Linked DNA regions of Danio rerio. The protein of the gene in region 1 binds, or shares a complex with, the protein of each later gene. Links are inferred from orthologs where the notes say so. Each region holds a gene or a part of one and is shown in the gene's direction. Other genes may lie near its edges.

The links.
Region 2: smarcd1 (region 1) and arid2 share a complex: the UniProt entries of both Homo sapiens proteins name them as parts of the SWI/SNF-B (PBAF) chromatin remodeling complex. The link is inferred for Danio rerio from reciprocal best matches to the Homo sapiens genes SMARCD1 and ARID2.
Region 3: smarcd1 (region 1) and actl6b share a complex: the UniProt entries of both Homo sapiens proteins name them as parts of the BAF complex. The link is inferred for Danio rerio from reciprocal best matches to the Homo sapiens genes SMARCD1 and ACTL6B.

What each region holds. Positions count from the first base shown.
Region 1 is NC_133197.1:7,410,394-7,414,053, reverse strand, and holds part of smarcd1 (SWI/SNF-related matrix-associated actin-dependent regulator of chromatin subfamily D member 1), read left to right. Parts: intron 1-2,413; coding exon 2,414-2,586; intron 2,587-2,690; coding exon 2,691-2,733; intron 2,734-2,977; coding exon 2,978-3,100; intron 3,101-3,217; coding exon 3,218-3,340; intron 3,341-3,594; exon of another isoform or gene 3,595-3,645; intron 3,646-3,660. UniProt on the Homo sapiens protein: Involved in transcriptional activation and repression of select genes by chromatin remodeling (alteration of DNA-nucleosome topology).
Region 2 is NC_133179.1:1,989,656-1,993,315, reverse strand, and holds part of arid2 (AT-rich interactive domain-containing protein 2), read left to right. Parts: intron 1-260; coding exon 261-511; intron 512-3,660. UniProt on the Homo sapiens protein: Involved in transcriptional activation and repression of select genes by chromatin remodeling (alteration of DNA-nucleosome topology). Required for the stability of the SWI/SNF chromatin remodeling complex SWI/SNF-B (PBAF).
Region 3 is NC_133198.1:48,249,027-48,252,686, reverse strand, and holds part of actl6b (actin-like protein 6B), read left to right. Parts: intron 1-339; coding exon 340-437; intron 438-558; coding exon 559-653; intron 654-3,660. UniProt on the Homo sapiens protein: Involved in transcriptional activation and repression of select genes by chromatin remodeling (alteration of DNA-nucleosome topology).

The sequences.
Region 1 (3,660 bases):
TTAAAACCGCTAAAATGTTTTTTTAACACCATTCCTAAAGTATTTGTAAAAAAATGTATTTTGTTTTTTATGACGACAGTATCTCCAGCAGAAAAAAAATCCATAGAATTTTTAAATTGTAAAGAAATCTGTGTTTTTGAAACTAATAAAGACAGCAGAAGTCAATTATTCATTTGGATTATTCATTCAGCCTGACATGTTTATGCTCAAAATATTATAAATCTTTCAAAAAATAAAATATAATGTTTTCAAATGGGGACTTTTTTTTTGTTTTTTTTAACCCAGGCATTTAAGAAGAACATATTTTAGAGCAGTAATCACAATACCGTGATACAGTGATATTTTTATCCAAGGTTATCATACTGTCAGAATCTTATACCAGCCCATGCCTATACTGTTGCTTGACATGAGATGTTTCTAAGTTTCAGTGACCGTCTGCACCAACATTCAGATGATCAGCAGCACTTGTTTTCTTAGTGATGAACACAACTGTTTGTGTGCTGATTTGTGACTAAATATCTGAGTTGTTCCAGGATTTAAAAATGAATGAGCAATCCCAGCATTATGGATGTGACATTTGCTGTAAAAACTAAAAACATAAATTCACAGAGAAATTATACGTTAACGTTATATTGAAATGTCTGTTTATATTTTCCAAAACAACTAACCACAGAGTTAAGAGATCAGAAAAATATTATTCTGTAAACATGTTTTGTACTTTAAATAAGGAAAATAAACATGCATTATGGATGTGACCAAAAAAGTCTGCGAGTTTACAGTATACAACATGCTTTTTAGAAATTCTGTGAATTAAACTGCAATACCCAAAATAAATAATGCTCATCAAATGGATGAGTTGCTCACTATAGAACAAAAATGATTGAGTTTATTTAATTTGACATTTTTGCATTTATGAGGGAAGAGCTTGGTTATGGATGTGACAAATATGAAATTGCCACTTGTATGACTTTGGTAATTTAAATGTAATAGTTGGAAAACATTGACTCTTGAAAACACAAGACATTTTTGAGCATTTTTAAATGACTTTAAAATACTTCCTTACACAAAAAAAAAACATAAAAAGTGGTTTTCCTGTATTGGTGAAAACTTATTTTTTCAATGGCAAGGTTGACGTTTGTATAGAATTGCTCAAATGTCAAACTCCACATTGCACAAAATATGTGGAGAATCTGTGGCCTCATCTTGCCTTCAAGGATGAATTAGGTCGCAGTTTGTGCTTGTGTACATCCTTCAGTGAAGCCTTGATTTCATTACTCTTCCATTTAGCAGGAAAACATTGGTATTTCATGTTCGTCCACAAGATATTTGTTTTGCATTCTCCTGTTGTTTGGACTGAGATTCAAGGGTATTTGCTGGTTCATTTAAAGTAATAGAGTTGAGGAATGATATAAGCATCTTTCTTTATAATTGATTTCGATTATTGTCTTAAAATGGATTGCTTGTGCTCTTTTTAAATGCCATTTTACAACATGACTAGATTTGAACATTCAGATCTTGATTTTTGCAATTAGAGGGGAACCAGAACAACACAACGTTTACCACAATTACATCATTAAAAAAAAACAAAGTATTACATTTTGTTTTGTCCGCCATTCAGGCAGTTGTTATTGAAGAATTATTTCCGACAGGCCTATCAGCAGCTTAATGCAAAGTGAAAGGCTTTTGTATAGCCCACAAGTCTAAATTCTGTGTAGAAAACTGTCTGGTTATACTTTATCCTGCTTATTACATGGCTGTTTCTCATAATGCATAAACAATTAAACACAAACCATTGTTCTGAGCTGACAGAAACAAAAATGGCCAAATAAAGCACACTCTAACCCAATGTTTCTCGACCACTTTCCTTGAAGACCACCAGCTCTGCACATTTTTCAAGTCTTCTTAGCTAAATTTACCTGATTCAGATCATCAGCTCATTAGCAGAGACTGATGACCTGTATTAGGTGTGATAAACAAATCAGACATCCAAAACATGCAGTGTTGGTGGGCCTCCAGGAATGTGGTTGAGAAACCTATATATTCAGTCACAAGATGGCACCAAACTATCCAAAACAATGATGAGAGCATATAAATATCGACGTCAACATATTCACTGATGGTCAAGATGAAGTAATACACTAGATGAGGCTGTGTTATTTGTTTAAACAGATGTTATCTCTGAATAACACACTTTGGAATGTCTTGAATGACCCAATCAAGTATTGCAAACAGCCATGTAATAAATTGTGATAAAATATATTTAAACTTGCTTAAATGTATGTGTATAACAATCGTGCTATGATTTATTTCTGCCATATGTTCCTAATGGAACTATAAGGGATGAATGTTTTATAATTGGTGCTTAAATACAGTGTTTCATCCGTTTGGATCATCTTTTGTTCCTTCTTTGCAGAGACCAGGAATGCCTCCAGCCAGTCGTATGACTCCTCAGGGACCCTCCATGGGGCCCCCAGGTTACGGGGCCAGTCCTGTTTCCCGCCCCGGCATGCCAGTAATGGACCCGTCCCGCAAACGTCCAGCGCCAAATCAGATACAGCAGGTTCAACAGCAAAATCGCAACCAACAGTAAGTCTAACTGATGGATTAAACCTGATGCTAATGTCAATATAACAGTAATCTTTTGAAATGCCTGATTAGATTCATTCTCATGCTGCTGTTTTGTGTTTTAGTGCCAAGAAGAAGAAAATGGCAGATAAAATACTACCTCAAAGAGTAAGTGGACGTGAAACTGTCCTCTTTGTTGTTATTTTCGTGTTGGAGTAGTGCAAGTATTCTGGATAAACTAATCCAAGGTTTAAACAAATGAATGGACTGGCATTGCAATGTTTTGCAAATGTTATTTTTATGTAATGTAGTTGGTTTGCCTTTGTTGCTGTTTTTCTTGCCCAATCAAGTTAAATGTTTAAAAAAAAACATTAAAATGCTGCAATTATTTAGATTTTCTGCTTTATTTCAGATCAGAGAGCTTGTCCCAGAGTCTCAGGCTTATATGGACCTGTTGGCGTTTGAGAGGAAGCTCGACCAGACCATCATGCGCAAACGACTTGATATTCAGGAAGCTCTCAAGAGACCCATTAAGGTAGTTTTCGATTTTTTGCCAACATTGAGTGCAGTTTGGTCATTTGTTCTCTTCTAGAGGACAAAATTGTGGTGGTTTATGTGCTTGAACAGCGTTTGATCTGTTTGTTCCGCGCAGCAAAAAAGAAAACTCCGAATATTTATCTCCAACACATTCAACCCTGCCAAGCCAGATGCAGAGGATGGCGAGGGAACTGTTGCATCTTGGGAGTTGCGTGTGGAGGGGCGGCTTCTTGAGGATGTGAGATTATCATTTCAATGGTTTCAAAAGGGTTTAGTTCACCCCAAAATGACCATTACCTCCTTTATTTTCTCTTGTGTGGATTTAAACCTTTTATTGTTAAACACAAAAGAAGATATATTAAAGAATGCTGTTTGCTGGCACCCAATGACTTCTATAGTAGACAAATAATGCTAAGGAAGCTAAGGGTTGTCAGGCACCAACATTTTTCAAAATGTCTTGTTCTGAACGAGTAAATGATGATTAATTGTTCATTTTTGGGTGAGCTATCCCATTAGGTCAAACCCCTTATCGTTTCTGTAGAAGTACACTATTTTTAT
Region 2 (3,660 bases), on another chromosome or scaffold:
TTGGAAAAGCCTTAAGTTGAAGAATTATTTCTCAAAAATGTCACATCTTAAAAATCATCTGTCTGTAATGTACATATTTGTGAGTTTTTTTTAATTTGGCTTTATTTGAAATAATTATAGTGAAATATGAAGTTGTTATTGAAGGTGTTATTATGTAATATGTTTTTATCTTCATTGATTTTGCCATAAAGCATCCATGGGGCAATAAATAAATGAACAAATCACCCTAGACATTTTTTAAAATCCATTTTTTCTTTCAGATGGATTGGAGCTGAGGGACATCTGCACTCCTCTCTTCCACCCGGCCCGTAACACCGGCATTGGGGACGTGGAGGGCCAGCGGGTGCTGCAGGTTGCGATGATCCTGAGGAATTTGTCCTTCGAGGAGGCAAACATTAAACTGCTGGCAGCTAATCGCACATGTCTGCGCTTCCTCTTACTGTGCGCTCACTGCACCTTCATCCAGCTGCGGCAGCTCGGCCTCGACACACTCGGAAACTTCGCCGGAGAGGTCAGAGTTCACTCTCTAAAAGATGCAAATAGCGTTGTCTGCAGTGTTGAAGAATTTTTGTTGTCTTGGTTTATGGATATCTGTTAGCTAGTGTGCTCAAAAATAGTGACAATTAGCATTAGAGAAAGTATAAAACTGATATACACATGCAGAGCTTGAAATTTGTCACTTCTGCCTAAATTGATTGGCGCTTTATTTGATTTTTTTCCACGTCACCTTATATTTTTGTTTAATTATTTGTTTATGGAACATTCTGATGCACTTAATTCACCACAAGAGGGCGTTCATTACAGTTATGTGACTAATATAAATTATTTATTCTTAATAATAATAATAATTCACTTCACACTTATTTTTGTTGTTGTTTTTTAATGACATTTTTACTGAAATAATGTATTCAATCAATCAAAACATAAATAAATTCTAGGTTTTTGTCTTAATTAAATTGAAGTGTAATTTACACAATTCACCACAGGAGGGCCACAAACTTACTTTTACAAATGTATATTACAGGTATAAATAGATTTCTTGGCGAATCAACGAGCTGTAATTTGGCAGATTTTTAATTTATCTTTGACATGGGACATTCTGATGCACAAAATTCACCACAAGAGGGCGTTCATTTAACTTATGTGACCTACATTTATATTTATTTATTAAATTGTTTAATTTATTCTTTATAATAAATTGATTGTCTATTGGAATTTTATAGTTCTGTTCACATATTTGTTGTTTTTTTTAATAACAGTAACCTTTTCACTGAAATAATAATGCAATAAAATCAATCAAATATGCTAGTTTGTCTAAATATACTAAAGTGTAATTCACACAATTCACCACAGGAGGGCGACAGACTTCCATTGTTTACAATTTATATTGCAATATAAGTATATATTTCTAGGCGACTTAATCAGAGGTATTTTGGCAGATTTTTAATGATTTGTTTATGGAACATTTTGATGCATATAATTCACCACAAGAGGGCACTTACTGAGATTATTTTAACATTGTAATTATTTTATTACATAATGTATTAATATTGTTAATAATAATTTAATTGTCTATTGAAACAGTGCAGCTCACACATTTTTTGCTGTTTATTAATAACAGTGACTTTTTCGCTAAAATAAAAATGTATTAACATCAGAATTGTGTATCACCACAGGAGGGCGCTCGACGTGTAAACTTATATTGTTTGTTATATTGAAGATTTAAAAATAGATATTTCTGTTAAAATTCAAGCATTTTTCTCATTTTTGTTCACTTTACAAACAACAAACCCAATATTATAATTGATTTACGTGACAACTGATACAATGCAATTGATGTAATTAATACGACTCACCACAGGAGGGCATTGTTTACATTGATTTAATATATACAGGGCTCGAAATTAACTTTTTTACTTGGTAGCGCCGGTGCTCCCAACTTCAAATATTTAGGAGCACCAAAATAAATTTAGGAGCACCAAAAAAACTTTAGGAGCACCACCAAAAATGAATGAGCACCGCTGCAAATTGCTTTTTAAGGGATTTATTGTATTTTAAAACAACATCAATAGGACTGACAAAAACCAGAAACAACTATTGAACTAATGCTGAGAAGACATTGATATTTGTGTGCAATAATTCCAAAATGAATGTCTAATAATTAGGCCATAGAATATTAGTGATGATGAAAATGACAATAATAGTAACAATGAATTACATTTCTCATTATGATACTGCCTTAAATGTGCATGAATGTAGGTTATCTGCTATACAAAGTCTGTTACTTTGTGAAAAATAAATGTATAGTTTGCATCAAACAAAAATGAAGCATTGCAGTAAGAAATATTGATTTTGTACTGCTGTTTTTATATGCATGTCAATTTAATAAATAATATTTCTGCTACAAAACAAACAAAAGATTATAATAAATCATATAATTCAATGATGAAAGCTGCAAAGCAGTCATCAGTAAATAAATAAAAAATAAAAATAATATAGCTACACCTCAAAAAAGAATAGACAAAAGAAAGTAAGTAAAGTCTCACTTCTATCACTCTTTAAAAGTTTTGGTTTCAGTTTGTGTCAATTTAAAGGTTCAGTCTGAGATGATCTTCATTTCTCTGTGTTAGTGGAAAAGCAGGCGAGTCAGCCGACCCAATTTATGAGCAGGCAGAGCAAGATTCTTGCGGTGACATCCGGCGCAATATCGCTCTTTGTTATGAGCCGCAGTTTCAGTGTAAACTTAGTAAAGGCGAGCTTCTTTGGCGATGAAATGTGCAGTATTAGATTTGACTTTTAGCGGACATTTGCGCTGAACACGCAGTGAATGCGACGCATGGAGATTCGGGCACCTTCTCCAAGAAGCGCGTACTCGATTGATCTCAGCTGGTGGATCATTATTCACCACGTGACGTGTCATGATCGCTCTCATCTGCGCCTCAACTTTAGGTGGGGTTTGCAAACCTGTGTGCTTTAAGTTTTCACTCTTCAGCCTTTTGCATTTCCCGTGCTCATAAAAGCTCCTTCCCTGTCATCTGACAGCGGAATACCTTGAGTGATTGACAGCTAATATGAACCAATATAGCGGCAGGGAAGAGCGATTCAGCACGTTTTTACAAAAAATCAAAACAGGTCGCACTACAACCATTATCTGTAGTCGCACTAATGCGCCAAAATATATTAAATGGTCGCAATTTCGAGCCCTGATATACATAGCCTATTCAATTATTCTTGAATAGATGACGTTGATTTAATATATATAGTCTATCTATTCATGTTTTTTAAATAAAAGTTTTCACTTCAGTAGTAATAATAATAATTACTATAAATCATCTCATACTTCAGTTTCTCATCAAATCTTCTGACCAATCAAATGGTCTTTAGTATCTGACATGCCCCGCTTTTTTCATTTGTTGCACTTGATCACATTGGCAGAGCTGTGATAAAACAAAACGCTATTGGCTGTTTTATAAAAATGGGAGGAGCTAGTCTGTCTCACTCTCTCTTCATTATTCAGTTGAAAATACGTCAAACATCGAATAACAATATGTACATTTCACAGGACCTTTAACAAAAAGCCCAAAAGATTTTTTTGATAACACTTTACTTGAAGGCGTGTTTATAAGACTGTCCCTAATTTAAATACGACTCGTGATCCAA
Region 3 (3,660 bases), on another chromosome or scaffold:
AATTTCATTTTATTACACAGAACTTCATTTATAAAGTAATTATATTTGTTTTCTTTGCATATATGAAGATTTATTTGATTGTTTCCAACATCTAGGGAAAATTTCAAGTCAACGGCACCTTTAGAAATATGCTTTCTGAGAAAAATGGTGACGTGTTCAATACTTATTTCCCCCGCTGTATTTACTTTTATGTTCGACAGAAAAAAAACATCCTCAAACTAATTCATAACAAGTCAATGATTGACTTCAATGAAGTCCTGTCTGAGATTTGTATGACCTGAGCGATGCATTTGCAGTATATTCAAAGATTTTCTCACCTCCATCTCTCTTTTGTGACAGTGGAACTCGCGAGCCAAGAGGGAAAAACTCACAGAGCTCATATTTGAGCATTACAACATCCCCGCTTTCTTCCTGTGCAAAACAGCCGTGCTCACCGCGTATCCAATCAGAGCGCAGCACTCAGGGACGTCAGCCAATCACAGTGCAGTTGCTCATGTATTAAAGGCAGGCTGATGATGTCATGATGTTTGTACCTCACCTTAACCTGATCGACTGCAGCTTCGCCAACGGTCGAGCCACGGGCCTGGTGCTGGACAGCGGAGCCACGCACACCACCGCCATCCCTGTGCATGATGGGTACGTCCTGCAGCAAGGTAAAGACCAGAGTGTTCGTTACTTTAAGTCACAGAAACGACACATCACAACATATGGGGGATTCTAGAATTGAATCGTAATTTTACACAACAAAAAAAATCAATTTGTGTTGGGACCAGGCACGTGCACACATAGGGCTCAACCTGTGCAGTGCACATGCCCCTTTTAGTCTTGGATTGAAAGTGCCCTTCCAAAATGATCAAAAGTGCCCCCGCGACACCCCCCCTGCCCCCCACGCCCTTCAGTAGGCGCGACAACACCGCTCTTGAATACGCGCTTTCCAAACCCCTCCCCCCCGCTTTACAGTACGCATGGAACAACATCGCTGATCAGAATGCACACGACAACACCGCTCTTTAGTACTAGTACGACTACTACGACTACGACTACAACGACGGCGGCGGTGGCTGCGACAACAACAACTAACCAATTTGGCACCCTAGGTAAGATTTCAGGTGGCGCCCTGTCACATCGCAGTAATTTCACTGCTAGTGTACAGTCATAAGAAACTAAATAGCTTTTTGATCGACTACTACAAGCTGGGAAAACGTCAGATAAATATGCCAAGGCAATTAACGTTACTGCTGAATAGATCTAATGTTTACACATTTGCTTGAGGAAGAAATGATAGGGGTAGTCACATTACTATTACTATTTTCCATAACATCAATGCAATATTGACAATAAAATAAAAGGTTTAACCCATTAAAATTAATGGCCTATACAGAAATTAAATAAAGCTATAAAATCTACTTCACTTTAGATTGTATTTGCATATTATGGAGACCCAGAAGGGACGTAGTGGAGGAGATAAAAATTGGCATGGATATATACATTAGATGTCGCCTGGCCTATTGTTGTCTATTGGATGGAATGCGTCAATAGCGCCGCCATCTTGGTACAGGGTAGCGCTCCTTTGAAATGAATGCGGGACCAAGGTACAGTGGAGGGCTGTGGCCATCCAAAGCCAGAGATATACACATATACACATATATCTGTGATCGGGAGTTTTCCTGGATGTTAGTATGCAATTTTTTTTTTCTATTTACGAAAATTATAATTTTACATCACTTTTCTACATTGATGGATCAGTGACCGCACGGGCATTCCTGACAAAAAGCTTGTGTTCATGTGTACAGAAATGTACTATTCACCTTCCCTGTTAAATGTGATCTAATCATGTCCTGAAACACAGCTTCTCTCCTGCTTTCACTTCTCATACTGATGAAGGGAGCGATTCGCTTGTGAATGAACGACTCGTTCACTAGTCGACAATAATACAAGTGTTTGGCAGCGCAGCATCTCGTTGTCATATTTCTTTTGCATTGTTTGCTGATTTTATTCAACAAAACTAGCATAAGCCGAGTGTTTAGTGCGAGTTGGTGCTGCTTTGCCGTATGGTGAATGCAGTAAGTGACGGTATTATCATCGAAAACGTTACGTGATTAGCACAAAAGTTAATAACATACAAAAACAGAAAAAAAACTTAATCTCACCTATGAAATGTTCTGCCTTTGTGCTTTGTTTTCTTTGTTTGCTCGTTACTACACCCGTAGACAGCGCTAAAGTCCCGCATCTTCATGTAATAACACCGTCTTGACTAGTACGGTAGAATGACATTTGTCCTGGGAGCACTGTACCAATGTGGCGGCGCTATTGACGCATGCTCAGGGTCCCTATGCGATATCTAGTGTATATATCTATTAAAAATTGGTAGGGTGAAAAAAAATAATGGGTAGGAGAAAAAAAATGGGTGAAATAAAAAAAATGGGTGGGAAGAAAATATATATTTCTAAGTTTTTGCGTTCTCTCGCAAAGTTTTGCGTTATCTGGCAAAGATGTTTTGTGTTCCCTCAAACACTTCCTGTTCACTTCACTCACTTAAAGCCTCCTGTTTTTGACGAAATTCTCCCATATTTTACCATCCTATCCCACTTACATTACTCACTTGTGTGATAACAGAGATGTCACTTTAAATAGCGTGTATATAAGCTGATCTGGGATCAGTTTATTGTACGGAGCGCGTCTGTCAGTCAGCGCTGACATGCATTCACAGATTCAGAGGATGCATATGAAAGGCGACGATCGACCCACAGCTTTAATGTAAAGAGAGTGAATGCAGACATTTTAATATTAATTTGAGCGTGCTTTCAAGATTAAACATATATCAGAAATATGGGAAAATACTTAATGCTAGGATGATAGTGGAATAGGATGGTAAAATACGGGAGAATTTCGGCAAAAACGGGAGAGTTTACATGAATGAGAACAGGAAGTGTTTGTGGAGAAACAGTTTTGCGAGGGAACGCAAAACAAAAGCTTGAAAATGTGTTTTCCTATCACTCTGTTTTTTTCTCCAACCCAGTTTTTTTTCTTCCAACAAAAGCTACTATAGTTATTTAGTGAAGAGCAGCTAGTGAATCTCTCATTGTGTTTTGTTTGATAACAGAGGTGTTCATGTAAGAATGCACAGATCTATAATGAAGCATTCGACTACTTTAGTAACTGTTTGTGCTCGTTTAAGAGAAAATTAGTAGTGCTTAAAATAAAACACGCAGGACGGAGCAAAAAAAAAAAAAAACGAAAAAAATAAGCACTTTTCCGACGGTCCCTTACTGAGAACTCCTCTCAGCGTGAGCTCTCCCGGCTAAACGCAGATTGCGAGGGCTTAAACGAAGCAGTGGTCGTAATGTCAAGCGGGAAAAAAAAGAAAAAGACAGCTGTGAAACATAACCAGCTTTGTCTTTTTGTTGGAAACACACTTTAGATCTTTTTAGAGTAAGAGTTTTTTTGAGTTGTTGCCGTCTGTCACTGAATGTGTCAGAAATATCGAAAACAAAACCAACTTACCCCCGCTCATTTCTGGCGCCCCCTGGATGTACAGCGCCCTTAGCATTTGCCTATACTGCTTATGCCACGGGCCGGCCCTGGTTGGGACAGACAAAAAGTGAATGAGTTTGTACATACTTAAGTGGATCGAAAATAAAACAATAAAGTTGTCTCACA